Schizosaccharomyces pombe: one gene and its partners. The protein of the gene in region 3 purifies or fractionates together with the protein of the main gene of each other region. This does not show direct contact. Each region holds a gene or a part of one and is shown on either strand. Other genes may lie near its edges. The genes, in order: cam1, rng8 and myo51.

The links.
Region 1: the proteins of myo51 (region 3) and cam1 purify together in Schizosaccharomyces pombe (affinity purification with mass spectrometry, with the first as the bait; one study listed by BioGRID). This does not show direct contact.
Region 2: the proteins of myo51 (region 3) and rng8 purify together in Schizosaccharomyces pombe (affinity purification with western blotting; 2 studies listed by BioGRID, with this or other methods). This does not show direct contact.

What each region holds. Positions count from the first base shown.
Region 1 is NC_003424.3:1,442,573-1,446,833, forward strand, and holds cam1 (calmodulin Cam1), read left to right. Parts: upstream 1-2,277; 5' UTR 2,278-2,357; coding exon 2,358-2,360; intron 2,361-2,486; coding exon 2,487-2,936; 3' UTR 2,937-3,761; downstream 3,762-4,261. Other genes in the region: tif310 (translation initiation factor eIF3j (p35)), read right to left, coding at 1-500, 544-556; GARP complex subunit Vps53, read left to right, coding at 4,131-4,261. UniProt on the Schizosaccharomyces pombe protein: Calmodulin mediates the control of a large number of enzymes, ion channels and other proteins by Ca(2+). Among the enzymes to be stimulated by the calmodulin-Ca(2+) complex are a number of protein kinases and phosphatases.
Region 2 is NC_003424.3:3,852,972-3,857,092, reverse strand, and holds rng8 (protein Rng8), read left to right. Parts: upstream 1-2,176; 5' UTR 2,177-2,232; coding exon 2,233-2,293; exon of another isoform or gene 2,294-2,347; coding exon 2,348-3,324; 3' UTR 3,325-3,522; downstream 3,523-4,121. Other genes in the region: transcriptional regulator Pcc1, read right to left, coding at 3,669-3,903, 3,981-4,012.
Region 3 is NC_003423.3:2,989,338-2,996,489, reverse strand, and holds myo51 (myosin type V), read left to right. Parts: upstream 1-1,575; 5' UTR 1,576-1,675; coding exon 1,676-1,704; intron 1,705-1,759; coding exon 1,760-5,680; exon of another isoform or gene 5,681-5,719; coding exon 5,720-6,185; 3' UTR 6,186-6,302; downstream 6,303-7,152. Other genes in the region: protein mhf1, read right to left, coding at 27-38; peptidyl-tRNA hydrolase Pth1, read left to right, coding at 424-519, 567-871, 911-956, 993-1,166; telomerase regulator Est1, read right to left, coding at 6,303-7,152. UniProt on the Schizosaccharomyces pombe protein: Involved in cytokinesis.

The DNA of each region.
Region 1 (4,261 bases), on a different chromosome or scaffold from region 3:
GGCAGTGGTTTGACAATTTTTAACCTTCTTCAAAATATCAGCTTGGAAAGCTGCATAGTCGGCTTTTGTTTTGAGTTGTCGTTGATCAGCTTGCTTGGAGCGGTTTGCACTTGCTGAGTTTTTATCAACGATGTCAAACAAGTCCATGGCATTTGCCAAGTCAGAGTCAATTTCGGCTTGTCGCATAGCTTCTTTGGAACTTTCTAGTGATTCTTCCTTCGCAGCTGCTTCACTTGCTTTAATGGCTTTTTCGAAATTTCTTTCCTGAATTTTTTGTTGGATACGAGTCATTTTGTTAGAGCCTTGATCATTTTGGCTAGATGAAGAGGATTTTTGGGATACTGAATGAGAATCATTTTGCAAGGATTCTTTGTTTTCTTCTTCATCTTCATCCTCTTCGTCGTCAAATCTCTTTTTTGGCTTGGAAGAGGATTGACTATCCTTCCCTAAGGGGAAATCAAACTCTGCAGGCTTTGCAGGATCTTCTACTAAAAAGTCCTCTTCATTTCAGTTAATAAACATGTAGAATCATATATAGCTTACCCCAGCTATCCATTTGGAATTCACTTGATGGTTTTTACAGTCTACTAAAAAGGTATGTGGTTCAATAAGGAATTTATTGTAGTTGCACAACAAAATTACGAGATGAATTGAGTAGGAAAATATTCAAACACACGTACTGATAGAGTTCAACAATAAATACTTTAAATTCTCGATCATTCTTATTATTTTATTTTTTATATGTTTATTTTTATTTTTATTTTTTTATTTTTTTTCTATGAAGGATATGAGTACCTCGAATTATTAAAAGTTAAACTTCCCATTTCACAGCATTTTATTAAATCAATTGAGATTTATAAATTTGAATCTTTTAAGGAATTATACTCAAATTTTCATGGTCATTCTGTAGAGATGTCTTTAAACAGGAAGTGCAAAAATTTAAAATTATGAGAATAAACTATAAAATCTTTAAAAACAAAAGACGTCTAAATTTATGATTATTAAAGACAAAAAAATGCTCAATTTGAATTTATTTTTTTATTTTTTTTTGTGTTACATCAATAACAACAAATATTGTTTATTCGATTAAAATATCCGTTCAGACTAAAATCAATAAATTCGGCTACGGTCATTGTATCAGATGTTGAGGTTCTGGATTTTTATACATTGAATAAATCATTTAGAAAAGAATTAATATCGAAATATATACAGGCAATGAAATCCTGCTTGAATAATATATTGTTATTTACTTTTTCAGTTTTCCTTCTTCATTTGAGTGTTCAACTAGAAAAATTATCAGATCAAAATTGGCATATACAAAAAATACAAAAGCAGATTATGCTACACAACAAAAATGCAATTCATAATAAACGTGCAAAAAAACCTTTTAATGAACTGCACTTATCAAAAATGCTTTTGTTTAGCAAATTTTTCAAAGCTATGTCATTTTGCTCAATTATTTGGAGACTTTAAACCGTGACAGTGTTTGTAAATCTGCTCAATAATTAATTTTCCATAAATCAAAATGAAAACAATATTTTCATATCATGAATAATAATATCACTAACTCAACCTCATAGAGGAAAGTGAAAAACACGATTTTCTGTTTACATTCAGCAAAAAATTGCGCTGTAATAACCATTTCCAAATACTGCATTTACAAATATTTTTTGTTAAATCCTTTTGCGATTTAAACATCGAGTACGATATATAAGTTGAATGTCGACAACGTTCCGTTGCGCTATAGCATACTACGTTGTGTATCACTAATTATCACATGTTTGATTTGCTCTGTCAAGCTGTACATGATAAGTTACTTAGGTAGATTACTAAGAGTTATAAAATGAATAACAAAAAAAATAATAGAATGCTTAAATTTTATGAATTGAAATAAACAAAACCTCGTTTCTCTATTCACTTTTATGCTAATTCGGTGATAGGTAACAATATAACCTCTATATCAGAATATCATTCTAAGTTACTAAATGTATTTACCTGTGTACCATAATACAATAGGTCACAAGTAAACCACACGGCAGTTCTAGGTGTCGTTAAATAGATACCAATAAATGCGTAGCTGACATTGAAAAAGTTCCTTCATCCGCCGTTTAGTGGTTTTAGTGCGGTTTATAGCAAGTACGTTACTGGTTTGTTAGAGCATATACGATAATGTAATAAACTCTCATTGTTTGTTGACATCACTGTTGATGGTAGGACTTGCAACATTAGGAAGCGACAACGGTAGTCCTCATTTCTCCAAGGCACTTTAACGTAACTAGAGCAAAACACTAACCGCCAAAAATAAAGGTTAAAAAAAGGAATAGAAGGACTTTAGAGTTACTGATTTTTACCAGAAAATGGTATGTTTATTATATTGTTTGGACATATTCCGATTTTTCCTTTGAAGATTGACTAACAATCGTATGAACGGATGACACTCAGAAAATGATTTCTGAAGTCGTCTACCGTATCGTACATTATTACAGACTACCCGTAACCTTACAGATGAGCAGATTGCAGAATTCCGTGAAGCCTTTTCACTGTTTGATCGTGATCAGGATGGAAATATCACGTCCAATGAATTGGGTGTAGTTATGAGATCGTTAGGTCAATCGCCTACTGCCGCCGAATTACAAGATATGATTAATGAGGTCGATGCCGATGGTAATGGCACAATTGATTTTACCGAATTTTTGACTATGATGGCCCGAAAAATGAAGGATACCGACAACGAAGAGGAAGTTCGCGAAGCCTTTAAAGTCTTCGATAAAGATGGAAATGGATACATTACAGTCGAGGAGTTGACTCATGTGCTTACAAGTCTTGGTGAACGTTTGTCTCAAGAAGAAGTAGCCGATATGATACGTGAAGCCGACACCGATGGCGATGGTGTAATCAACTACGAAGAATTCTCTCGTGTCATTTCTTCCAAGTAGAAGGGTTGGAATTTCTGTGGAATATTTGTAAGCCTTAAAAAAATCAAAATATCCTTGCTGGGGTTTCCACCCTTTTAGTTCTTCTTTATAACCACTCTCCATCGCAATTTGGACAATCTCTTTACCAACTTAACCTCGGCTATTGTCCTTTACTTTTTTTTTCGTCTATGATTTTGAAAAACATTAGTTAGTGTATTACAACGTTTTGGTTGTTTATTTTGCTGGCCTAGGTGTGTCACAAAAGTAACTATGGTAGCATTTGTTGTTACCATTCATCTCATGATCGATCCTATGAATTTTAACGCTTCCTTTGTTTCAACACATAAAGGAATCCTTAAGTCTGGGAACATATACGTTATTGCTATGAGAATACCACGCACTTTTGCATTATTGCATCCTACAATGAATTATTAGAAGCTTCATCTGTCTGTTATATGATGCATTTGCTCGTACTAGTATGTGCCTAGTACTCGCTGTATACGTTGCATTTATGTCCTTGCAATTCCCATGCCCATTATTTAGCTCAATCTTCCTTTTCTTTTTTCCTTCAAGATTTACTGTTCATTATACTAGTCGATGTTAAAATTTTTAGCATTTTTCTAGTTATATGCACTTCTTGAAGCCGTTTTCTCACTCTGGTAGATATACGCTTTGTTTTGTACTTAATACATTACTTTATACAAATACATCTCTCAGTATGAAATTTTGTGCGGCACTTGTCGAAGCTAAGCTATACGTATTAACTAAACATAAATTCATAAATGACATCGTTTATTTTCTTTTTGCATTTCACGTAGTTATTCCGATCGTAAACAGAAATTCATCATTGGAATATGGACATTTCCTAAGAAGGAAGGCTCTGCGCCGGTAAAGTTCAAGTTAGTGAAGTTAAAACTTATCTAAAATTCAACATCATGGTACATATATATTCAAAAAGTTTTTACAAAGTTATCAGTTCTAAACCTCAATGTCCTCCTACTTGCTATTCAAGCCAACCTAACTTCCTCTCACCATCAACCACCCGCTATATGGTTTCGTATATCCCTTCGCCGTCGAAAACTTGTACCTAACTATACGAAATTTTCTTCTTTAAAATTGCCAAAAAAAAAGCTTCGAGTTCTATACTGCGCTGTATTACATAACACTTTGGAATCAAGGGTTAGCAATTACCATAACTAAATTAATTATAGCTCTATGTCGAATGGAAATGATAATTCTCTAATTATCAAAAATATTGGGAATAATGAATTTAAATTTGTAGAAACGCTTCACGAATTATTACCAGAAGATATCACTTATGATGATTTGGGTTCATTACGACTAAG
Region 2 (4,121 bases), on a different chromosome or scaffold from region 3:
GAAGCTTGTTAGAATTTCATCTTCCGAATCCAAAAGATGAAATTGAGCTGTCGAACGAAAGCAAGTTAGCTATACGGTGTATTGAAAAAAATCTAAAACTTATTTTACTTCATTTAGCTAAGAGTACAGGTGCATCTTCTTCTTCCGTCGAAAAAATTCACGCTTATCTTTCCGGACAAATTTATCATACCAAAGTCGATGAAAGTTTGAAGAAACGGCAATATGAGGGAAATATTAGTGCTGCCTCTAAGCGTGTTAAGTCTTCTGCTGTACAAAGTCTTGTAGAAAGAATGCAACCCCAACTTAGCTCTCACGATGGTTTGCAAAATAATCCCTTAATCAGCATATTTGCTTCACAAACTGCTATAAATCCTCTTGCAAATTTTGATGTAACTTCAATTCCGGTTGAAGTGGCTACTGAAATTGTACTTACTTCTCTTCTTAAGATAGACAAAAACTACTTTCATCAGCAAATTAATATGTTGAGAGAGAGAGTGCGCTCTCTCTCTGAGCCTGAATCCCTTGGTCTTGATCAACAAGTTGATGAAGACGAGGACGAGGATTATGAACCGCCTGAGGTAGATGTTCAGACTATCAATGCTAGTGTAGAACGTGAAGCAGCTCGACTAGAGGGAAGTGCTCCCTCCAATGTCGTTACTGATGCGTTTGAATTACCCACTCCAGATTCGCTGTCCCCGATGGCTATTCTAGAATACTTTCACGGTGCCTTATCCAGATTATTTGATTATGCTCCTCAATTTGAAAGAAGCATAGTTTCTTCTTCTAACCTTCAAAATTTAACGTTGGAAAATGTGGATAATACGGTATGGGATAAGCGTCACTGGGCAATTCTCTTACCACGACTTTGTACGCGAGGCTTATTGAATTATCAGCCTGTAACGTCTGGTGAGGAATCTGGAGATGCTTCTTTCACTTTGTCTTCATTTGTTCGAGGGCAGCTTTTTACTTACGTTGCATCTAACTGGCGTTCCAGTACAAATTTAATATTGAACTGGTTATCCGAGGAATGGTATAATGATCGACTAATGCTTGAAAATCCGGATTGTCATGAATATGAGGATGTTAAGTGGGAAGGTCCACAATATGAAAAATGGGCCCTTAAAGTAATAGACAGCATTTTACCATACTTAGAGGCAAAAGATAAAGTTTTTATGATATTTATGTCTGAATTGCCAGAACTCACCGATGCTATAGTTGACAAAATTAAATTTGTATGTCTTGATCCCGATAAGACGAAGCTCGGTTTCATGACTTTTCAGTATTTAATAATGTTTCGACTAACCTGTACGTGAAAAATGCCTTGATATTCTTGAGACGATGTGGAAAGAGAATGTAGATGTTAAAGCTTCCGCCGCAAAGCTTTTGAATCGTTGGCGACCGTCGTTTTTGGAGTCTGTGAAATCAGAGGAAACGAAAGAGCCTTCCGCTACAGATAACACTTCCTAGAAAGCTTGTTTTTCCTGGGTCGCAGTGGGATTTCATTGGAAAGCCAAGGAGAAATAAAAGCTAAATGTTTAATGCACCATCTTTTGATAAAATAAAGTTCTGTTCATACCTAGACAGAAAAAATGTATCTGTGGCTAATCACCACTCTGTTTATTGGAGTTTTTTGGTATATATGCAAAATCTGTTCATATACTTCATTTAATCCTGCATTGGAAATGAGAGTAATCTTTCAATATTTCTTAACATACTTTACATTCATATTTATCTAGCCAGCATTTAGCCCTCTGCTATTTATGTAATGCTGTTACTTATAGCAAACGTTTATAAAAACTAAGTCTGTATAAAGCATAAATGAGCCCTTAATTTTTGGCGCACTAAAATTTAACTATTTATTATACAAATCTCAATTTTCATCGATGATAGAATGGCATATTTTATTATTAAAATAAACCATGGTCTTCTAAGAGTGGGATGTAAACTAAAGAGAAAGACTTGTTAAAAGTAAATTTTTGTGTCTATACACATAATGTAGAATAATAATCATTTGTTCCATAATTCCATAATTATACTATTTTCTTCAAATCTTGGCATTCATCTAAATGATTGATACACCCTCTTAAACCGTTTATCGAGTCCAACTGAGACTTACCGTGCAATAAATGAATGCTTTAGGACAATGAATGAAAAATAAGGATGCAACTTATCCTTTGCAATGAAGCAAGTCTAATTCATATTTATTTCTCTTTCTTTTATTTAATGTAAAAAATGGGTTTAGAGGGATCCGAAAAATTAGAACATGAAATCGAGCAAGTTCATGATAATATTGGTAAGAGAAATAAGTAAATAATAGTTCAAGCAAACGCTAATATAGCGATCCCAGAAAATAGAAAGGAAGAAGTTTCGACGCTCCAAGATATGGCAAATGATTTAGAAAAATTGACAGATCATATTGAGGCAACGTATATTGGTAGAGGAGTACCTCATGACCATGCAAAAACAGGATCTAGAAAACCGTCTTCTGGTCAATTGATTGCTACTATGCAAAACGAAATCGACAGACTAAAGAAAGAAGGAGACAAGGTTTCTATTTTACTTATGCAAGAGCGAAAGAAAAGGAAGGAGCTGGAGTCAGCGAAGAATAACTTGCTAAATGTTTATGATTCTCTTAAAATGCAAAAGGCGTCTGTTTCCAGTATGGTAAATCGGAAACAGCGGGCAGCTAAAGAAGAACAAAAAATCCAAGAAGAATTCGAAAGACAAATAACCGACCTATTGGAAGAGCAGCAGCAATTAAAGCTAGAGATTGAAAGATTGGAAGCTGAAACGGAGCGGGCGAATTCTGAGACCGAACAGTACGAAAAGCAAAAAGAAGCTTTAGAAGAAGAGTATGAAGAGCTCAGGAATGAATGCTTGAAGCATGACCCTCAGTTGGATGCTGAAATAAGGACATTACAAGACACATTTGAAGAAGTGGAAAGGACTTTGACAAAACAGGTGTCTGATGCTAAGATTGCTGATAAACCACTAAAAGATTCAATGTTCAATAGCAATAGTGAAAAGGAGAAAATTATGCATGCACTCGAGAAGGCTGAAAAGGATGCTGATATCTATTCCGAGTTCATCCAACAGTACATGGAACAGCTGGAAAGCTCGTTAGAAAAAAGTAGCACAGCCATAGAGAACGCACAAAATCGTTTAGCCGAAATGACTGCCCACCTTGCTGAGAGCAGTGATTATGACAATGATGACGATACCGACGGTATTATTAATGAAACTGATTATGAATTGGATACCAGCCAGAGTGAGTTTGCTACTCTCACCACTAGCTCTAACAAATCTATCCTGAATGAGAGCTAAAAGCGTTATTATTTTTTTTGGTGAAGCTTCAGGTGCTGGTAATATTTATACTATCTTTTAAGCCATGAACAGATATTTGGTCACTTTTAATTGTAAATTAGTTTAGTTTAAAAGGTATATAGCAAGGAGAATCAATTATATCAAGATACAGCAGAAATAATATAGAACTTGAAAAACTAGTAAAAAGAAAGGGAGGGGGCAGAAATCATTATTTATTTTATTTTTTTGCTTAGACAATAAATACTCTTCAGTCATTGTTCGACATAAAAATAACTTGTGTTACTGTAATAGAAGGATCGCATTTTTCTTATAAAATAAGATTCATCTTTAGAAGCACAGCTTTATCATAATGAGCTCAATTCATGCATAGTGTCAATGATTAAATAAAGGTTCTCAAACAAGGAATTTACAGTTACTCTTGTCATCCTCGCTGAAGAGCAAGAATAGTTCACAACCAAATAGTTGTCGTCAACAAAAAGATTTCTTTGCACTAGTTCCTCTTTCAACTCACGATCTGGAGCTAACACTTGCAAACATCGTTCAGCGTCCACTCGACTGGCTAAAGGAACTTTCACAGTTCTACATATTACAGGTATTAGCAAATCATTTATAAATATAATTAAGGGAAGCTGAATGAACGACAAATAGCTACTTACACTTTATGAGGAAGCACGATCATTTCTGACATTTTAATAGGGAAATCGTATTCTAGGACTCCAAACTTTTTTAAAAAATCGAAAAATAGATTAACACTTCTTCGCAATCCCGATCAATTAAATATTCATTAAGCACAAAGT
Region 3 (7,152 bases):
ATACCTATATTAAAATGCATTATTACCTCCTCCATCATATAACTTTGATTACTTTTTATTAATTTTCGTAATAATACGTTACTAAAAGTTAAGATAAGTAGTCTCCTTATAATTAAATGGCTAAAACATGAAATAGGTGGTTTCCAAGTTTCTTCGTAGTTTGAAACATTGTTTTATTAATCTAAACTAAAATATTATTTTCGTGGGGAGCTAACCGTGCTAAATACCAAAGAGTAGGCCAAAACCAATCAGTTGGAAAGTATTTATTAATCTTAATAAAACCTTGTGCCTAAATAAAAATTTTCTCAGAAAAAAGTCCATGGTGCAAACACAATTCTTGGTAAGTTGAAAATTCTGTTGAGGATGCTAAAGCTTTTTTTCAATCAAAAAAAATTTTTTTTAAAATAAGTACCAAAGTTCCGTATGGCAATAAAACATCTTCCTAAGATTTTAATTGCCAGGAAAAACAAAGCAGAAGTTAACCATTGCGACCTTAAAAGAAGAGTTTCTATAAAAATTGTTATGATCCGTAAAAGTCTTTCCAAAATGGGATACTAATCCGAAAGATCTATGGTTTAGGAAATCCAGGATCAGCGTTCGTCAAATCGAGACACTCACTGGGGAAATTAATGGTGAGTATGTACGCTGACAGCATGGCATTTCCAAAAAATTGGCCTAGTACCAAAGAAAATCTCACCTTGGTTTTGTCCACCTCATACATGAATGATTCCGGGAAACAGTTGAAAAAGATATCTAATGATTTTGTGCGCAAAGTTTCGCCATTAGACAAAATCGTATATGTAGTTGTGCATGACGAATTGGAGTTAGATTTAGGCAAAGTCAAGCTTCGTTTGCCCGGAGGCTCTCACAGGTAAGTAATATCCAAAGCAATACTTATTAACATTGCTAGGGGACACAATGGGATTCGCTCTTGTCAAGAATTCCTAGGAAAAGAAGTAAGGTACACATTTAATTTCATTACTAATTCAAAGAGTTTTTACAGGATTGGATTGGGAATTGGACGTTGTGAGTCAAGGAATAGGGAGGACGTTTCAGATTATGTTTTGAGTAAATTCAACTCTAATGAAATGAAACTAATTGAAACTGATATATTCCATAAGTTTTGCAACATTCTTCAACAATTACAACTTTCAATTGAAACATAGGGACTAAGTTAAGCTTAACTCATTGCGGGTTGTTCCTTGTAAAATTGATTGTTGATTATAAGAACTATGAAGCTACATTGTTCATTCCGTTTAAATAAATTATCAAAACCCACAGTCCATCATATTTTCAAGGCAATATTGGATTAAAAGATCAATACCTTTTTTATTGCTATATAAAATTGATAGATAAATAAATCTAAGATACAACAATTCATGAGAACAAACAGAGATTAAAAGACTAATTTAAAAGACCCGCTTAAAGCAATAAAAATTCAAAACCCTAAAATACCAATTTTCTTTGTTTTGCTTTCGAATTAAAGAAATTAGGCGTTGGGAAGTTTGGCGTAGCGATACGCTCTAGCGTGTTTGCTCGTAAATATTTATTTGTGTACATAGCACATCGAAACTCAAGTTACCCGATTTATAACTTTATTCCTTCTTTTGATATAGTTTTCCTTTTATACCACAGAAGATATTTTATTTTCAAAAGAAAGTAATTAAAAATTGCTATGAGTCATGCAAGATTATCGGTAGGCTCGTAAGTAAATTCTCAAAAAGTAAACACCCTTCTATTAACAATCGTTACAAATTAGGGAATGTTGGGTTTCCAATAATAACGGTCATTGGGATGCTGCTCGATTAATCGAAATAAAAGATAATGGAGGAGGTAAAGTCGTAGCAACTGTTGCAAAGAGCAGCGGTGTTTTAGAAACAGTGAATTACCAACAGTTACAAAATCGAAACATCGGTCAATCAGAGTCGCCTTCTGATTTAACGAATCTTCCTTATTTAAATGAGCCATCTGTCCTTCATGCCTTACATAATCGTTACAATAACAAGCAAATTTACACATATTCGGGAATCGTGCTTGTCTCAATAAACCCTTACCAAAATCTTCCCGAGTTTTACAACGACAATCTGATAAAACATTTCCATAAAGATCCCGAAGCAGCCAAAGTTCCTCACCTATACTCTATAGCAAGTTCTTGTTACCATGCTTTAACTACAGATTCCAAGAATCAGACTATTATTGTGTCTGGAGAATCAGGTGCAGGCAAAACAGTTGCTGCTAAGTATATTATGCGTTACTTGACCTCGGTACAGGGAGTAGATCATAATGGTGTTGTTAAACGCTCTGTTGAGAATCAAGTTCTCGCTACTAATCCTATTATGGAAGCATTTGGTAACGCAAAAACTATCAGAAATGATAACTCTTCACGTTTTGGTAAATATGTTACCATAAGCTTTGATGAAAACTTGTTGATTACCGGAGCAAATGTAAACACATATTTACTTGAAAGATCCCGAGTAGTCTCTTTACTTAAAGGGGAAAGAAATTATCACATTTTTTATCAGCTAATTACTGGATGTACAGAGGAACAAAGGGATAAATGGTTTCTTGAGTCTGCGTCTTCTTTTAATTATTTATCACAAGGAAATTGTGATGAAATATCTGGCGTTGACGACAGTAATGACTTTACTATAACTTGCAGAGCTCTTTCAACTATTGGTATTTCAGAGTCAAGGCAGGAGGATGTATTTTGTCTACTTGCTGCCTTACTCCACCTTGGTAACATTGAAGTCTGTGCAACAAGAAATGAAGCACAAATACAGCCCGGTGATGGGTATCTTCAGAAAGCTGCTTTATTACTTGGTGTCGATTCATCTACGCTTGCTAAATGGATTGTTAAAAGACAACTGAAAACTAGATCCGAAACCATTATTACCTCATCAACTTTGGAACATGCTATTAGCATAAGAGACTCTGTCGCTAAATATTTATATTCCGCACTGTTTTTGTGGATTGTTCACATGATTAATGCATCACTTGACCATAACAAAGTTAAAAGAGCTGCCTACAAATATATTGGTGTTGTTGATATTTATGGCTTCGAACATTTCGAAAAAAATTCGATGGAGCAATTCTGTATTAATTATGCTAATGAAAAACTTCAACAAGAATTTAATAAGCACGTTTTTAAACTAGAACAGGAAGAATATGTTAAAGAAGGATTAGACTGGCGACTTATAGAATATTCTGACAATCAAGGTTGCATATCCTTAATCGAAGACAAATTAGGGATACTCTCGTTGTTGGATGAGGAATGTCGCTTACCTTCAGGGAACCACCAATCGTTTTTACAAAAATTAAATAATCAACTTCCTACAAAACACTCTCAGTTCTATAAAAAATCTAGATTTAATGATGGTTCATTTATGGTTAAACATTATGCTTTGGACGTTAGTTATCAAGTACACGATTTTTTAGCAAAAAATTCGGATGCCATACCTGATGAGTTTATAAGTTTACTACAAAACTCAAAAAATGAGTTTATAACTTATCTGCTAGACTTTTATATGCAGTTGGTTTCTTCTCAAAATAAAAATCCTAGAAAGACTGCTATAAGCAGGAAACCTACACTTTCATCAATGTTTAAATCTTCTTTGTCTCAATTAATGACAACTGTTTCCTCTACTAATGTTCATTACATTCGATGCATTAAGCCTAATGAAGAAAAGCTTCCTTGGACGTTCTCCCCGCCGATGGTGCTCTCACAACTCAGGGCCTGCGGTGTTTTTGAAACAATTAGGATATCCTCGTTAGGGTTTCCTGCTCGATTTTCGTATGAGGAATTTGCTCATCGATTCCGCATTTTGTTGTCTTCTAAAGAATGGGAGGAAGATAATAAAAAGTTGACTCTTAATATTGTTAACTCTGTAATTCCTCATGATAACCTAAACTTTCAAGTTGGTCGCTCCAAAATATTTTTCAGATCAAACGTTATTGGAAATTTTGAAGAAGCCCATCGAGCTACATGTAGCAAATCGACAGTTTTATTACAGTCTGCTATAAGAGGCTTCTTTACTCGGAAGGAGTATCAAAGAACTGTAAAATTTATCATTAAACTACAATCGGTTATTATGGGCTGGTTAACTCGTCAACGTTTTGAGCGAGAAAAAATTGAACGAGCAGCCATTCTTATTCAAGCTCATTGGCGATCTTATATCCAACGCAAAAGATATTTGTCCCTTATCAAATGTGCTATTGTTATTCAATCAATAGTTCGGAAGAATATCGCATATTCTCGTTATATAAATGAGTTAAGGGAAAGTTCTGCTACACTTCTTGCAAAATTTTGGCGAGCGTACAACGCAAGAAAAACTTTTAGAGGTTTGAAGAAGTCAGTTATTGCTCTGCAATGTGTGTCGCGCTCTGTATTAACCAGAAGATATCTTCGCAGATTACAAGATTCGGCGGGCAGGACTAGCATTCTTTATGAGAAGCAAAAGAACCTGCAGGCTTCTATAACCGAAGTATCCAAACAGTTGAAATCAAATAGCAAAAAAGTAACAGTTTTAAGGAATAAGCTTAATATTTTAAATAACTCACTATCGAAATGGAAGTGTTTAATTAAGAAGCCCAGTGACTTTTCTGAACCCGTTAGTATGGATTTTACTAGCAACGATGAACAGCTTGTGCAACTTTTGCAAGCCGAATCAAAGCTTCGGCAAGCATCTCAGCAACTTTATATGGCAGCCAAAAAATCGGAGTTGGGATTTGTTCAATCTCAAACTGCCCGAGAGAACTTGTCGAATTATTACCAAGCTTTACAGATGACAGTTTCTGAAAAATTTGAATATGATACTGAACAACTACCTTCCCGTGTTCTTTTTTACGCAATGGATAGATACTTCTCCATCCACAAAAAACTCAAACAGCTTCTTGAATTAGTTGGTGTTGAAAATGCATCTCTCTTACCTAATGAAGTTGTTAATAAACAAACTAAAGATTTATTGTATGAGAAAAGGGTTGTTTTTTTAAAGCAAATTAAGCAAGCTCTCACGGTTTCTTCTTTGTTTAATGCAGTTGGTTACAAAGATGGTGTTATGAGGTTGTTAGAAACGGATCAGAACTCACTACTTTTTGCTGGGGTAGTAAACTTTCTAATTTTTGCAGGTATTAGCCTTGATTTGAAGACACAAATCAGTGAGTTTTTGAGCCAATTGTGTTCCTATTTCACTAAAATCGTTGACGGTACAGTTATTGAAAATGATAAAACTCTAGATTTCTATGAAAAACCTCTACAAGCGGTTTTGTATTGGTTCGCAACGTTACACAAAATTCGTTCATTTTTAGTGCATCTTTTATCTATTAATTCACATGGAAAGCAAAGTGTGGTAGAGGATTTATGGAATCCGTTGATTTTGAAATTCTCAAAACATTTTTCTAATCTGGAAAATTCATTTCATTCCTTGGTCCAGAAACTATTAAGTTGTTGTACCGAGGGATCGATTAATGCTCTTTTAAATTCAAAATGTTTACCAGAGTTTATCGATGCGGCTGATGAGAACACAACACCTACTGGAATGAATATTTATGAGTTGATAGACAGAATGAATTTAATACACAAATTATTAATATCTTCTGCCTTGCAACCAAATTTATTGGAATTGACTATATCTCACATGCTTCAACATATAGGACAACGTGCCTTTCAAACATTAATTCATGGGTAAGGCAGCTATCAAAAAAACTATCACTAACATTCTAGCCGGTCACCGTACACTTGGAAATCTGCTTCTCAGGTTTCCTATAATGCCTCGCTGTTGATTAACTGGTGTCATCAAAAGGGTATTAGTTATGTTAACTCGTCACTATTGCCTTTAATGCAGTCTCCTTTGGTATTTTGCCTTCGTAAAAACGATGCAAACGATTTGGATGTTATTCTCTCTGTTTGTAATTTACTTTCGCCATTTGAAGTTGTATGCCTCCTAAATAGGTATCAGCCATGCGCTGGTGAAAATCCTCTACCAAAATCCTTTTCAAAAGCCGTAGAGGCATTATCTTGTAAGTATAAGCAATCTGGTTTTACAAATGGTAAAATCACAAACACTAATGGGCACGCTATTCCTATAGCTGCTTCTAAAAACCCTTTATTATCACTTGAAAATAATCATATATACGAAGAGCTTCGACTTTCAGAGTTGATAAACTTATTGGCTAAAGCTACATTATAAGCTTTTTATCAAGTATCATTAAACGTTACACCCGATCAATATTTTTAATTTATATTAGTACTCATTAATACTATATTCTTATCATTCTCTGTTAATTCAAAGCATCATATAGTAACTTCAGGAAAGCAATAAATTTAGTATTTTGGATATTTGATAAAATCGTTTGATCGATTCCGAAAATGGATGAGTAGTATAGTCGGGTGGGTTTATATTTAACTTTGGCCCTATAATGTCTTCGTTCAATCTTTTAAATAAACAAATGAAAGATTTGCATAATCCGAATTCATTGTAGTCCTCAAAAAGGTTTAACATTTTATTTTCTGAAGATTCTTTAAAAAACTTTTCACAAATTCTGAAATGATAACTCAATTGTTCTAATTCGTTCCGCTCAATGAATCCAAAAGCTGGAGAACTTTCAAGCACCCTTGCTAGTATCACCTTAATACTTGGTAAACAGGAAGTTAAGTAAGACGTTGGAGCACGCTCTGATTCAACTTCTTTAGCACAAGCAAGCGTTTGATGAAATAACCAAGAAGAAAATCGGTAATAGAAACTTCTCAGACGATCGTTACAGTTGAAATAACGACAGTGTAAAAGATTTGAAAAGGCAGATGATATGTAGTAAAGATTTTTTTTTTCATATCCTACATTTCTGATGTTCGACTGTAATAATGAATTCTCCAAATCCTTGACCATGATTGAGGGACATTTAAAAGGCTGAATTTCTTTTAACGAATGTATGCAACAGTCGGATATAATAAAAAGTAAAATCATCATGGGTGATACAAATTCAAAATGGACAGCGAAACAGCGTCTGTAAAATGCAATCAACTGTTTAAGCAAATTTAACAAAGCACTCTTGGGCGGGTCTTCAGAACATAAAGCCGATGAAAACCAATAAATAGACTCCACTATACATTCATCGGATGCCCAGACAACAGCAATTTGATTCCTATGCATTCCGTTT